Linked DNA regions of Diceros bicornis minor. Each later gene encodes a partner of the first gene's protein in a complex. Links are inferred from orthologs where the notes say so. Each region holds a gene or a part of one and is shown in the gene's direction. Other genes may lie near its edges.

Region 1 (7,627 bases):
AGTAACTAAATGCTCTTGGAAAGTGTCCAAGACAATGTTATGGTAAATATCCAACTTGTTTCATCTAAAATCAAGAAAAACAAGTTACCTGAAGCACTAGATTATGTTTAAGTAGACTCTAACTAAAAGTTTTACATCAAATAATCACTTGGAAAAATCTTTACTCTGTACTTATGATGGGCTCTAAGACCAGTAAGGGTCATCTGGGGAGATAGCCACACCTAGGAATCTAAGTCACATATTACTTAATACTACTTTGAGAAACATTTTAATCCCAATAGCTTCCATTTTGAAAGAAATAGATTTTGGCAGAATCTGTTAAAATAATGGTGTAAAATGTGCTGGTGGTTCTCTGGTTTCTAGCTTGAGCCACTGCTGAGAGTCTCCTGTTATTTGTGGTTCAGATTCCTTTTTTACAGGTTGCATGTCTGATAGATATTTACCAATTTCAGCTATAAACAAACATAAAGGCGCTTTATATATGTGAGTGCATACGTGAACGTACATACATGACACTCTAGACAAGCTGTGATTTCTACTTAAAACAACTTTTTTATAAATTGAAGTTCTACTAAATTGAGAAGTAAAAACCAACAGTTAAGAGAAAAACCTAGCCAAATAGCAAAGGGAGCTATAAAATTAACTCTGGAAGCCAAAAAACCTAAATAAAGCAGGTTCATAAAACAAACCCGACAGATTTTCACTCAGCACTTACAAGTTTATAAATGTTTACGTTTTTAAAAAGTTGAGTGGTACACCAACTTTAATTTATGAAAAATGACATCCTGTGATAAATTTCTAATTCCCAAGAGAAATAATTCAAGTTTAAAGATCTGAATACAAAAGTAATTGAAGGAAGAGCTGTAAAGAAATGAACAGAAAAAGTAAATGTGGTTTTACAGGAAACATGGAAGCTTTCTGAAACATTAAAAGTGGAATGGACTGAATATAACACACAAAAGACCCAAAATGAACAAATTAAGCATAAATATTCCTAATGTGTTCAACATCTACTGAAATAAGCAATTCCATTCCACTCCATACTTGCCACAAAAATTGCCATAAATTGGTTACTTCTATTTTTTTAAATGATGAAACAATGAGAGATTTGTTGCAATATATTTTATAACTTACCAATAGTGAGCTATTAAGTTTCTATTAGTGATGCTTCAACTAAGGATTTGCACTAAGATGACTGAAATCTGTTCGTACAGCAGTGAAATTGAAGCCTCACTAAAGACATTCAACATAAAGCTGACCCCTAAAGGCTCCTTGATGCACATTTGCAACCACAGTAGCCAGGATATGCAGTACACTAAACTAGCAACAGATTGGTTAAAAACTGTTTGGATTTTCAACTTCCCATAATACAGGCAGCATTTTTAGAAGCAACTGTATTAAAATAAATACGTCTTTCACAGTTACGGGATGAAATTTTAAGCTGGACAGGCACCAATGCCCTGATTTTCTACTTTTTTCGTAAACCATATGACTTCCACATGCTGAGAATGTTTTATGCTTTAACCTGCAGTAAAGGCTTTACATCATTTTAATGCTCAGTGCTTAACATGCAACAGAATCACCTTCAATGAATGCAAGGAATATATTTCGTTTACTTTAATGATTTCAACCAGACTAGTAGTCAGAAAAAGTTTAATGAAAGCTTTGCTCAGTAAGTAACTTTGCATTTCCATAGAAGAAAACAGACAAAAAATCTGAGGTAACGTTGAGTGGAACAGAAAATACTCTTATATTTTTCCAACTCAACAAAATTTTAGTTTTTTAATTTCTAAAATAAATATTGAACATTTTAAAACTCTATGTCTAACAGAATATCTTTCAGCAAAAAACAAAACAAAACACTGTTATATAGTTACATAGGATTTTTCTCCAGTTTTTGCAAAGTAATGTTTCAAGCTGACACAGAAGGTTAAAACAAACCTAGTCTATAACAAACTAAAGGCTCAGCTTTGTACCAACATATTCTATATTCTAAATTCGAGATTCAGACGACATCAATTTTTTTTTATTCAGGTCAATCTAAATATATACGCTACCTCATGCTTATAGTTAGCTTATCTGTGTGAATGAACCACAGAAATTTCAAATCAAAGGTTATAAAACATATCATAAAATTACACGCTGTATCTACATCACTTTCAGTTTTCATGAAACCTAAGGTCCTTTACTGATAGGTTCAAGAATTGATAAGTTTGGAGCAGAATATGTAAATACATTAAATTTTCAATAGTCAAACAAGAAATTATGCCAATTTCTCTAGTTATTTAAAAGTCCATTACACTAAAAACTGTCACAGAAGAAGGGTTACTGAAAAACGTTATTTCAGACTAAGGGAAGTACAAAACATGATCCTAAATTCTCCTGGTGTAATGTTATTAAATATTAAAGACTGTGAGAAACAAGAGATGTTGCAATCCTCTTCCCTTTATAACTCTAATTGAAACTTGAGAAAAAAAATCAGAATTCAGATTTTCCGAACTTGGTTTTATAAACATAATTCAACTAGATCTAACAACTTAGTTGTGTGATTTTAAAATAAGTTTAACGCAAAGCTCTGCAATCCTGATTCGTGATAATCACCTGAAACATAAATGCAAAATAAAAACAAATGCAAATCCTTTTCATCTGATGATGCATTTTATAGTAGAACCACAAAAAAGCACAACAATATTAGCAGAAACTAAACAAACATACACAAGAGGCATTATGTCCATCCAGGAAGAGAAATGTACCATGCCAAGAAAGAAAGGAAGGACTGAAGGAAGGAAGAAGGGAAGGAAGGAAGGAAGGGAGGGAGAGAAGGCAGAGGTTTCTATACTTGGAGGATCCCAGAAAAATAAACTAGCGACATCAATCTACCCTATAGGATACATAAGGTTTTTTACAGCTTCAGGGTAAATAAAAATAGCACTTTATGCCATTCAACTTTATATAGTATAGTATCTTTAATGCCAACTGCATTCTCCCCTACACTCACCCAGTGCTTCCTCACTCTTCCATACCAGCTTTCAGACAAATGCGAGACAGAACAGGGTGGGGTAGAAGAAAAATACAAGAAGCGCCTTTCAGCTACTCCCCCGCCCCAATAATTTCCAACCGTTTTTCCTACTACGAAAATAAGTCGCCCTATCTCAAGATACACAACAGTCATTCTGTCTCTAGTAGACACACAGAGACACACACACATGTCAGCACTCCCGACCCCTACCCCACGCCCCCGAATCTTAAGTAATGTTTAATATGTTTAACACGAGACGACGAGATACCTCTACCTACTATTTCGGGGTGAGGGTGGGTGGAGGACTCCTTTCAAAGTAGCCCCAATAGTGTAACCAAAACACGGTTCCGGAATAAAATATTAAGAACACTTTTCCTTTCCCACCTATCTACCGACTTAAGGATGCAAAAATCCATCTCCACACATCTCCTGCCCGGAGTTTGGGGCGGAGATCTGGCCGGGGAGGGGGCGGGGAGAAGTAGTGGGAGCGGGCAGCAGGACACAAACGAGTTGCTCACCCCAGCTACCCCGCACCACGTCGCCAGCCCGAAGGGCCAGCAGCCGGACCTCATGCACACTTCTCTGCCCAGGCCCAGTTAAAAGCTATGGCTCCAGCTATCTAACTTCCTATCTATAGACATTTATTCAAGACTAACATATCACACAAGTACACGTCACACAGTTTAGCACACAGTTATACACCCCAAACAAACCCACACACCTCAAATTCACCTCACAGTTTCCCAAACTCCAAACAGGAGACCCCCACCTCCAGGATTCAAACCTTGCGCCCATAGTGCAGGAAACCAGGAGAAAAGAGTTGGGGAGCAGCCGACGCCTTTCAATTACCGCCCCCCACAAACTACCCCACCCCATACCCTGCGTCCGTGTTACTCACTAGGAAGCCCCCCGCTTCCTCCCTTCTCTCAATCGGGCCGCTTAAGAGACCCATCCCCAGCCCACTTACTTTCCCCCCAAAACCTCTCCAAAAAAAAAAAAAAAGTGAAGAGAAAGAAGTGAGGAGAGAGACTTGAGGTAGTCCGGCTTCAAAACCGCTCGACTCACCTCAGAATCCTTGCTGAGTTCTCTCCGCCCGGCACAGCCCCCTCCCCAACGTCCCAGTACGAAGGGCTGAGGTAGGGAGGAGGGGAAAACGGGAGGGGGAGGGGTGTCTTCCGCGTGGGGCGCTCGTCGGGATGGGTCTGGGGAGGGGTTGAGGCCGGCGCAGGAAGAGGAGAAGGGGGAGGGGAGGCCCCTATCTCCCAGTCTACCCCTGAAAACCTCCCTTGTCTCAATCACATCAGACTGACTGTCTTTGTCTGGCTGACAACCGCCATATTGATAGCAACAGCCCCTCTCCCACCTGCTGCAGCCGGGCGGCCCTGGGAGTTGTAGTTCTGCCTCCCTTGAGTAAAAGGGCGAGACTTGGCGTCCAGAGGCCCCAGGGAACTACAGCTCCCGGCAAGTCCCGCGCCCATCCGCCTCCCCAAAGGGAGGAGGAGACAGGGGCGCCAGAGCCCTGGGAACTACACATCCCAGAATACCATGGGTCCCAGGCCCAGAAGAGGGACATGATATCACGCTAGGGTGGAGAGGGAAGATGAATTGGCGGCAGGGAAGAATTTGAGCTGACGGAAGGCGGTGTTCGGAGAGGAAAGAGAGGAAAAGGAAAGATGACCACAGGTCCCATGATGCTTGGAGAGATGACTACATTTCCCATGATGCCCCGGGAAGGGGGCGTAGGGAAGAAAGACTGCGTGTCCCGCGATGCTCTCGGTGGGCCGGTGGTAGAGATTGAACCGGAAGACGCTTTCTGGGTTTGAGGGAGTCGGGTGACTGGAGTTAAACAACCAAAAGTCCAATATGAAACTGGTGAGTTTTCGCATCTAGGTCACAGGGCAAAGGTGATGCCATATCCTTTTGGACTTCGTCGTTTCCACCTTGAGAAGGGTACCGTCGTGGAGGAGGGGTGGCAGTTAGGGAACTAGAAAGTGGGGTGGACTGAGGAAAGCTGCTGTTGGTTGTTGAGGCTTTTTGAATCCCACCTCACACTCCCCCGCACGCGATTGCCAGGAGATCTTATTCATCCCTTGGCGGGTCCCTTTGGTAGCTAAGAGGTTGACTATCACCTTTCTTCACCTAGGAACTAAGGTTGGACTTGAACTAAGTTTGACTTGTTTCTCAGCTGCCACGTGAGTGTTACAATAGGTTGTTAACTTCTGTCCACGCGATTGGCCCTTCATTATCGTTTCCCTCTACCGTTGTAGAGAAGGCTTAGGTTAAATGTGAGCAGAGTAGAAAATAATTTGGCAGAGCGTTATCACTTATTAAATTTTCTTCTTTAGACTCCTAACTGCCCTTGGAATTCAGAGGAGGTCAGGGTGTGATCTTGGAGAATTTGACCAACCCTGTATAAGATGGGCTGAGAGGAAGTGTTGAGGCATTCCAGTCTAGGGCTGTAGCGAGTGCATGAGCCAAGGTTAGATGGAGCATACCAGTATACCTAGAGAAGTCTTTTCATCTCAAAACTCAAACGCTTGACTTATAGGAAAGCTTCTCAGACCTTTATTTTGAGCCATTTTACTCTCGTGCACACAGATCTAACTAGTTTATTCCAACTCTATGGAATTAGTAATAGCATAATTAAGAGTAGAAAAGCAGGTGTGAAATGCTGGTTCTCAACCTTTTAAAAATCCATGTTCCTGTGGCCACGTATTGTCAAGCTTTACTTTCTGTACCTGTTTTTTTTTTTTTTGGTGGGGAAGATTGGCCCTGAGCTAACATCTGTGCCAATCTTCCTCTATTGTTTATATGTGGGATGCTGCCGCAGCATGGCTTGAGGAGCGGTGTGTAGGTCTGTCCAGGATCCAAACCCCCAAACCCTGGGCTGCTGAAATAGAGTGCGAGAACTTAACCACTATGCCCTGGGGCTGGCCCCATACTTTCTGTAATTTTTATACAAAAACAAAAGGTTTATTTTCTTAATTATTTGAACATGCTTTTCCAGAGCACACATAAATGCTACAGGCATATACTCTGCAAAGTGTCAGCTGTTTTCTGAGGAATCAGAGAATGTATTAAAAGTAGATTCAACTACAAAACTGTCTCCATTTAAAGACGTTTGTGTAAGGGAAAGGGTACAGATCAGTAAACCTTGAGAGTATCAGTTTGATTCTGGGTGGTTGTGTGAAACATTTAAGAATGCAGAATTGAAAGTCAACGCCCTTGCCCTAAAGAAGCATGCAGTCTACTGCAGAAGATAGAAAAGTAAGCCAGAATTATAATTCACTGTATTCATGGTAAATGAAAGGCATGTTCAGGATTTGGGGAATTGATGATGACTGGGGGGGTGGGGGGAGTCAGAGACAACTTCCTGGAAGGGTAACTGTTGAACTGATAAGAAGGATGAGTAGGCTAGGGCTGTTCATGAAGACAGTTCAGCTTATAAAAGCAAAAGAGCTTGGCTCCTAAATGGTTGGAACACAGACCATATGTCCTCAATAAAGGACATGGAAGGGAAAAAAGTAGAAACTTTTTTTTCCTTTAAGAACCAAAAGATACCTCAGAGAAAGAGAAAGTGTTCTATCTATACTCCCTCCCTCTTTACTTTCAAGCCACGTATTACATACTAAAACTCATTTGGTAGTTGATAGATGATCTATAATGTGGAATTTGTATCAACATAGCAAAGTGGTTTCAAAAACATTGACGCTCACTAAGTTAGACTTCTGTGTGTCGTGCCTCCCATAGAGTTGGAATAAATCCTCCCAGGGCCTAAAATTTTTAACTTTGTGTACTGCTTCAGGAATATGTACTAAGCCATATTTTACATTTATAATCGTGAAATGCAGAAATACATTTTTTTGAGCACTTTCTTGTTTTTGAGATTATGACTTCCAAAATACCCTTCCCATGTACAATCTATGACTACATCTTGTTGATTCTACTTCTGTTCTTGAATAGATCTGTTTCTCTCCTGTCCCACTAATACTGCCTTTGTATGGGCTCTTTTCACATGACACTTGGAATTCAACAAGATCGTCTAACTGGTCTCTCTGCATTCAGTGTTAACCCTCTCCAATCTATTCTCTACTCTGCATCTCAGAAGTTGTTTTAAATTGCAGAGTTTCATAAAACCCTCAGTAGCTTCCTTTGCCCTTAGGATAAAGTCTTACAATTCTTAACTTGGCTTACTTGGTTCTGTAGAATATGACCCTGCCTACCTCTCCAGGCTTGTGTCTAGCCCTCATCTTGCTTGGTCTCCTTGTTTCAATTATATTGCACGTCTTCCAGTACCTTGAACTCACCCTACTCTCGTTTGCCTCTAGGATTTTAAATATGTTCCATTGCCTACAACACTTTTTTGCCTGCCTAATTTCTTCATATATTTCAGATCTCTCTTTAAATAGCACTTCTTCGAAGTCTCCTTGAATTAGGTACCCCTGTTATATACTTCCATGGCACACTTCCGTTTTGTTACACTTGTGATTATTGGTTTTATGTCCGTCCTCCCTCATGTAAACTCTGTGTATTCCCAGGGCCTGACATATAGTGTGATGCCACTAAATAGTAGTTGAATAAATAATTTCTGAAGGATTATCAAAGTCT
Region 2 (7,805 bases), on another chromosome or scaffold:
CCATTCTCTTCAATTAACATCTTCTGTTTTTAGAGTTTCTAAATCAACATTACTGCAAACTCTTTAAGTTACTAGCAACATCATACATAATCCAATGGGCAAGGAGTTAAAGGAAATACTGTATGTCAATGTGCCTAGTATAGCCACTAACATATTCACAATACTAATTTCACTTCCTCTCTTCTTTCCATTGCTAAAATTCTAGGATTCTAAAATGTCAACAGCAACCAGTCATAGTATCTTAAAGTACATTAGAGCAATTTTAAAGTAAAGCGTTATGTACCTACCCCAAGAGTACAATCAGTTAGCCCTGGCTAGTAGTAGCGTAAGGTCAGGGAAGTCTCTAGAGGAAGTGAAATCAAACTAAGTCTTGAAAGATCAATAGTTTTCATTGAATATATGAGAGAGGAAGACATTCAGGGTGGAGGGAAAGTTTACTCTGCTTGGGCCAGAGACCTAATGTGCACTATGGTCCTAAACAGTAAACCATCTTCAAAGATTTGTTTTATCATTTTGATATGTGGGTTAACACATTTTAAATATGTAAGAGAAACATTCATTCAATAAATAATTACTGAGAACCAAATGTTTACTAAGCATCAGAGGAAACAATGAAGTTACAATCTATTGAGACCTGTCTAAATAACTAAAACACTCTTTCACATTTTAGGGTACTTTCAATTCTCACTTTTCATTAAAAATACTTTGGAGAAGACATCTTAGCCTGACAGAATCTCAGATAAATCTAGTTTTGGATGTTTATAGAGATAACTTGAAGGAATCAGTACAAAGGAGGCAAAGAAATTCAATTCAGATTTAGTAATTATTCCTCGGGGTATTACCTCTAGGTCAGATATCACTGTAAACAAGCCACTAAAGACCATTAAAAGAATACAATTAGTTATGTTGTAGAGTTCACAAACATCCATCTACAGAACGATTTGAAAAACAAAGTCTCTGTTTTAAAGTTAACGACTGCAACACAGGAATTCAAAGGGACTGAATCTTGAACAATTTAGGTGGAACTGAAGATCACATGCTCAGGATACCTAATTCTTTACAATTAAACAGTGACCCCCTCATTTCTGCCTCATTGCCTACAGACTAACATCCCACCACCAACAAATGGCCTAATGTGGCTTAGTAATGAGTTCCTAACTACCCCTCCATTTCTGCACTGCCCACAACACACACTTCATGGACCAGCCCCTTAAGCTACTTTTGGATCCTTATTGTGCTATGCTCTTTCCACCAAGAACCTGTAATGCTTTCCCCCTACAATACTCTTTTGGAAAAGCCTATTCTTTCCTCATTGTACAGATTAAGCCCCTGGGGTTACATGCAGATTTTTCAGGGAGTATCCGAAGGCAAGCGAGTTCTCAAAGAATCAATTTCTGGATACTCAACTTCCATATATATGCATTTCTAAAATTGATCTGTGGCTGAGGCTCTCTTTTCCCCTTTCTCTTCATCACTGCCTTTCTTCCAGTTTTCAAAAGAAAGGCATTTCCATACCCCAATCTTACACCTTGCATTCACCCAAGGTATGAAAACTTCTGAGACCCCAACTAAGAGATAACTGGATAATTCCTTTAATAAAGGGATTATAAACACCCAATTTCATCTCTTTAAAAGATATACTTCCAATAAAATTTTACTTTGCTTAATAATTATTTATCAAAATTAGTAACCTAAGTTGCTTTTATCAATTGCATACTAATAATTGTAATAATTTAATCCAGAAGAAACTTTTTAACACTTGGAGCCTTACGATCACAGAAAATTTCAATTTGGAGCCTTATAATTACAGAAAATTTCAATTTAAATACATTTTTTTACACAGAGGAGTATGATAGAGTGATCAATAAAATAACTTTTCAAGGTAATTTAAAATCAAATTACCTTAGGATAAATTCTATGGGAGAAATAAAGTGGTATAAATTCACGGGGAAAAAGCAAGTATGTACAATATCTAGCAAAGAGTTTGTTTATATTTAAAAAAAATGATTCATGTGATTATCAAATCACTATAGTATTTATATTCTATTAGATACATTTTAAAGAATGATGTAGCATTTTTATTTTAAAATGCCAATATTCACAATATGGCCAGAAATAATATCCTTTGCATCTGTTTAAACTTATGATAAAAACTTTTAAAAGCCAATTTAAAAATACACAGAAGAGTAATCAGATTTCCATTTTAGAAAGATCATTGGCAGCAATATGGAGAATAACCTGGAGAAAAAGAAACTAAGAGGCCATTTGGGAGACTTGTTATAATCCAGACAAGAAGGTATTAGGCCCCAACTTAGGGAAATAGAATGGTAAGCATAGAACAGATCCAAGATACGATGAAGAGGCAAAATCAGTGGGAACAGAGAGGAGGATGGATTCAAAAGATTTTAATGGAACTTTCTGAATGTGTATCTTGAGGAAAATGGAGGAATTTTGATTGACTCTCGGGTTTCTGGCTGGGGAAACTAGTTTAAAATAATGGGACCACTTCCTAAAGTAGGTAACATAGCAGGTTTGGGGGAAAAGTGAGTTCGGTTTTGGGTACGTGAGTTTGAAATGCTTGTGGGACTGACCATCTGGGTGAAGATACTCATCCAGCTTTTATAGGAATGGACATAAAGTATAGGGAAGGCAAGGTTGCAGGTAGCAGTGGAAGAAGCCCTGGTTACGGCTATGATCATCCGTGGGAGTAGGTAGAAGAGAAAAGGGGCCTAGGGGCCGGCCCCGTGGCTTGGTGGTTAAGTGCGCGCTCCGATGCTGGCGGCCCAGGTTCGGATCCCGGGCGCGCAACGAGGCACCACTTCTCCGTCCATCCTGAGGCTGAGTCCCACATACAGCAACTGGAAGGATGTGCAGCTATGACATACGACTATCTACTGGGGCTTTGGGGGAAAAAATAAATAAATAAAATCTTAAAAAAAAAAAAAAAAGAAAAGGGGCCTAGGATGGAACACCAACACCAAAGGGGAAAGGAGAAGAAAGTCCTACAAAGTTCAGTGCATAATTTATAAGAATGAAAGAATTTCAGTGCCTAGTTCATAACAATGAATGAGTTTTTGTAAAGGAACGAGAGAGGGGAAGAAGTAGACAGACAGATTGGAGAATTAGGAGAAAATCTGTCACAAAACAGAAGCTAAATAGTTTGCCCTGGGTCACACAGTAAGGAGTGGAGCTGGAATTAAAACTTAGGCAGTTTAACTCCAAAGACAGAGCTCTTAACCACCGTACATGGCACTGCCACTCATGACACAGAGGATAGACAAGTTACTCAAGCAAGGTCCCAGGAGAGACAGAAAGAGGGACATTTAGAATATAATTTAAAAGGTTATCTAAGAGGGAAGCAGGTAAGGAAAGCATAAAGTTTTAGACTGGGGGCAGGAAGGTGAGGGACTACTCCTCAGTCTCCTCAATATCCTTTCCCTAGACCTATGGCTTAAACATAAAAAGTTCCCTTCTCAGATTCTTTTCTTTATGTTTTCCACATGGTTTCAAGGGGAAAGAAGACCTAGTCCATCTTTAAATGAATGAGATTTCATTTCTATCCATGCTGGCCTGTGTAGTAACTCCCTTACCAGAAACTTAAAACGTTTCAGGTTGATGACACCCAAACCTAAGCTTAAAACTCCTATTGCCAATGCTTTAACCTAAGGAACCTCAAGAACTGTAGAGAATAAGTTAGATTTCTACATACTAACAAGGAAATATTTCCAAGTTATACCATTAAAGTGAAAAACAAAACAAAACCATTTTGATCCCATTTCTGTAAATAACGATACATATTACCTTTGGCATTGAAAAACATTTGGTATAATACACTCCAGTCTATTAACAGTGGTCCTCTCTGGGGGATGTGGTTATGGGTATTTTCCACTCTTTAATTTCCAATTTTTATGCCCATGTAGTAAACAGGGGGAAAAAATTTTGACCATGCTAGAAGCTTGTGTTCTCTGCTTGACTGAGTTCCTTAGCAGCGAGCGGATCCTATTCACTGCTGTATATAGCAAATAGTAGGGCTCACTAAGATTCTACGACAAAGGAATGAATTAATCAATGAGTACGAGTCTTGACGATCTCACATGGCTGTTGAGAGAACCACAAACCTACAAAAACGCATGCGTTTTCCAGTTAATGTGCAACACAGATCTACGCCGTAAAGGAGGCCAGTTAGTTCAACTTCCCTCCCTCCGTCAGCCTACATTACGATTAAAAAAATCCCGATTACGATTAAAAGTGTCCCTAGGGCATATAAGTGCAGCTTTCGTCAGTAGTTCTCGCTAACACGAACTCATTCTGGCCGTGGGAGAACGGCCACCGGGGCTGGGAAACAGAAGCGGAATCGGCCTTGGTCCGAGGTGTTGTTTCGGGGGAGGCGAATCCCGCCAGCAACAAGCAGCAGTTATGGCCGTTACTCACCATTTTTCGGGACGCCAAACTGGGGCTGGCGGAGCACCGAATTGAAGAGCATCTGGGCCGGAAGAGCAGGCTCAAGTGAGGGAAAAGCCGTGGAGATGCCCCCAGGTTCGGCAGAAAGCGTAGCTTGCGCTGCTCACAACACGATTAGTTATTGCCTCCAACTCCCGCCACTGTAAGCCCCGGCCACCAAACTCCCCGCCAAACTGACGTCACGCCCTCTGATTGGCTCCCGCCGCGGCGTCCGGGCGCCTCCAAGTCACTTCCCCCTTCGAATCCCCGCCTTCTTTTCTCCCAGCCGCGGGAACCTAGAGTTCACGAGCTCCCTGAGCGCCTGCGCAGGGGGCCGCAGAGGAGGTGGCGAACGGCAGGGTGACCAGGGCGCATGCGTAACACGGCTTGACAGAGCGCGGAGGAAAAATCCGCGAGAAGGTGGTGGAAGAAGATGGCGGTGCTGGGGCAGAGTTTGCAATCTCTCTGAATAGACTAGTCGAGTAACTAGTCGGGTCATGGCGTCAAACTCAACTAAGTCTTTCTTGGCAGATGCCGGCTATGGCGAACAGGAGCTGGATGCTAACTCTGCCCTTATGGAATTAGACAAAGGTATTCGAAAGAGCGGGCTGAGCGGGTGAAACGGGCGTGGGGGAAGTGGCGCCACCAGGCGGTGGTAGCCTCGGGAGAGGCCGGGAAGGCGCATGCGCATAGCCTCCCTGGGCGGGGCCGGCTGCCTGTGCTTTTGGTGAGTCCAGCGCTTTTGCTGCTTCAGGAGATAGCAGGAGAGTTGCGGCGTTGCTGGGTTGGCCTTGCACCAGCTGAACAAGTAGCGAGCTCCAGTGGTGGGCCCGTTTTGACCGCCTGAGGGCACAGTTCCCCGATTTTCCAAGCAGTTTCTAAAAATCCTAAATTGAAACTGTGAAATTATTTTTCAGTACGTTCAGTTGAGACCAACTCGTAACCAAGAGTGCTAAATAATAATCTTGCACTGATAACAGCGATTCATTTGATTTCTGTACCTCTGTTACCTGCTGGTTACTAGGCGGATTAAATACGGCCAAGACCCTCGGAAAAGCATAGCCCCTGCTCCTCCTCTGCAGACAAATTTCACGAGTTCTGTTTCCTTACGGGGGCGGGGCGGGGGTGGTGCTGGAGGGCAGCTTGGTGTGGTTGAAGAAGCTTTGGAGTTAGACTGAGTTGAATTCCAGTTCTGCTAATTTTATGGTCTTGGGCAGGTTACTTAACTTCACTTAACCTCAGTTTTTTGTCTGCAAAGTGGGTACAGTATCATTGAGCTGACCAGATTGTTGTAAATATTAAGTGATATAATGATACGCAAAAGAAGCCTTTATTAAGTCTAAAGAGATATGCCTTCTTTCTAGGATATGGATATGGGAAGCAAGGGCAGATATTTGTCAGTAAAGAACTCAAGTATTAAAATGAAGCCTTTGTTTCAGTGTACTTCAGTGGTTTTTATTGAACGCGGGAAGCATTTTGTCACCTGGTATACAGTTAATTCTTGATTAACCATAGCCGGTGTATAATGTATTGAGAACTGGATTAGGGGTTAGAAGGATCTTTCTTTAAGTCCACTTTGAGCAACTCCCCAGCTCTCTGACTTGGACGTTCTAGTAACTTTTTTGGGACTCTGTTTTTTGGATTTGTTGGTTTGTTTTTTAACCTGTAAACATATCTAGTGGGTTGGTCTAGATAAAGGTTTCTCAGACTTTTTTTTTTTTTTTTTTTGTGAGGAGATCAGCCCTGAGCTAACATCCGCCAATCCTCCTCTTTTTTTGCTGAGGAAGACGGCCCTGGGCTAACATCCGTGCCCATCTTCCTCCACTTTATATGGGACGCCGCCACAGCATGGCTTACCAAGCAGTGCGTCTGTGCGCGCCCGGGATCCGAACCAGCGAACCCCGGGCCGCCGCAGCGGAGCGCGCGCACCCAACCGCTTGCGCCACTGGCCCGGCCCCTCTCAGACTTTTTAAAAAGCTTTTAACTCCTTTTGATCAACATGAAAGTGTCACAACACTCCAGTGATATAATCGTTTGGTTGAATCACAGTATCTTTAGCGCATCCCCATCCGCCAAGAAAATGATGTTGAGCTTTGCTTTCTCTTGCCAAAGCTATAGGATTTTTTCCCTCTGAAATATAAAATTGTGACTTTAAATGTGTTTTTTTAACACTTCGTAATCTTTTCCTTCCCATTCTGATAATTCCTTCCTTATTCCCCAGTGAGAGTTGCAGGTCCTGATATGTAATATCCTTACCAATTCTAAGACATTTTCTACCACCTTGGTGGGCTCGTCTCATAATGACAGTAAAACAGTGCTTGTAGAACAGAGATCACAATGGGACTCCGTATTAGAAATCTAGAATTGTTTAATTCCTAAACATTTGCAATTATGGTAAGAAAAAAATACATCACAATTTTTCATTCTTAAAAGTTGAAATAGATATATTTCAGATCTATAAGAAATAAATGGATGGCTATTGAGCGTTTAACTGTAAACCAGGTGTCAGTCCTAGATACTAAGGAAGTGATATATTGTTCAGTCTTCTCAGCAATGCCCTGGTGAGTATTTTTCAGATGAGTCTCAGAAGGATAGATTGGACACGACGAGAGCAAAACTTTTGTTCTTTTTCACCTCAGCATGCTATACCTTTTAAATCTGTTAAGAGATTAGATTATAGAAATAGCCAGTTTCATTAGAATATAGTTTAGTATTTTAAATATTGAGTCATTTCATCCTTTAGCTGTTAAAGTATTTCTGTTTTGTGAGCCAAAGTTCAGAGGGTCAGAAGGCTACAGATTCCAGCTTTCTTTTAGTTCCAAAACTTATAGACCAGTTTCAGAAAGTGCACCCCAAGAAATACTATTTCTGAAGTATTTTAATAGGAGTTTCTTCCTCCGTATCCTCTCGCCCTTTTCTTCTCTCTCTCCCTCCCTCTCCTGACAACATACAGACACTCAGACACTCACACTCACATACATCACTTATTTGATCAGGCTTTGTGCTAGGGAAACAGCAATGAAACAAAACAAAGCCGCTCCCCTTATTGAGTTTATATTCTGGACAGAGAAAACAGACAATAAACAAATATAGTAAGCATGTATTGTGACAGATAGTGATACATATTATAAAGAAAACAGAAACAAGTGAAGGGAGCTGGAGAAAACTGGGTATGGGGTTGGAATTGGTTTGTTAATTTTATATAGGATAGTCAGGAAAGGCCTCACTGATCAAATAAAGGAACAGCAAATGCAAAGAAAGGCCTTGAGATAGGAGCCTGCTTTGCTTGCTGTACCTTGAGCAGAGTGATTGACAATGAAGGTAGAAAGATAATCAGAGGCCAGTTCCTGTAGGGCAATGCAAGC

What was found. The genes of interacting proteins can lie anywhere in the genome.
Region 2: INTS9 (region 1) and INTS7 share a complex: the UniProt entries of both Homo sapiens proteins name them as parts of the integrator complex. The link is inferred for Diceros bicornis minor from reciprocal best matches to the Homo sapiens genes INTS9 and INTS7.

What each region holds. Positions count from the first base shown.
Region 1 is NC_080750.1:64,983,855-64,991,481, forward strand, and holds the start of INTS9 (integrator complex subunit 9), read left to right. Parts: upstream 1-4,619; 5' UTR 4,620-4,882; coding exon 4,883-4,891; intron 4,892-7,627. UniProt on the Homo sapiens protein: Component of the integrator complex, a multiprotein complex that terminates RNA polymerase II (Pol II) transcription in the promoter-proximal region of genes.
Region 2 is NC_080743.1:77,746,463-77,754,267, reverse strand, and holds the start of INTS7 (integrator complex subunit 7), read left to right. Parts: upstream 1-4,790; 5' UTR 4,791-4,937; coding exon 4,938-5,031; intron 5,032-7,805. Other genes in the region: DTL (denticleless protein homolog), read right to left, coding at 4,432-4,483. UniProt on the Homo sapiens protein: Component of the integrator complex, a multiprotein complex that terminates RNA polymerase II (Pol II) transcription in the promoter-proximal region of genes.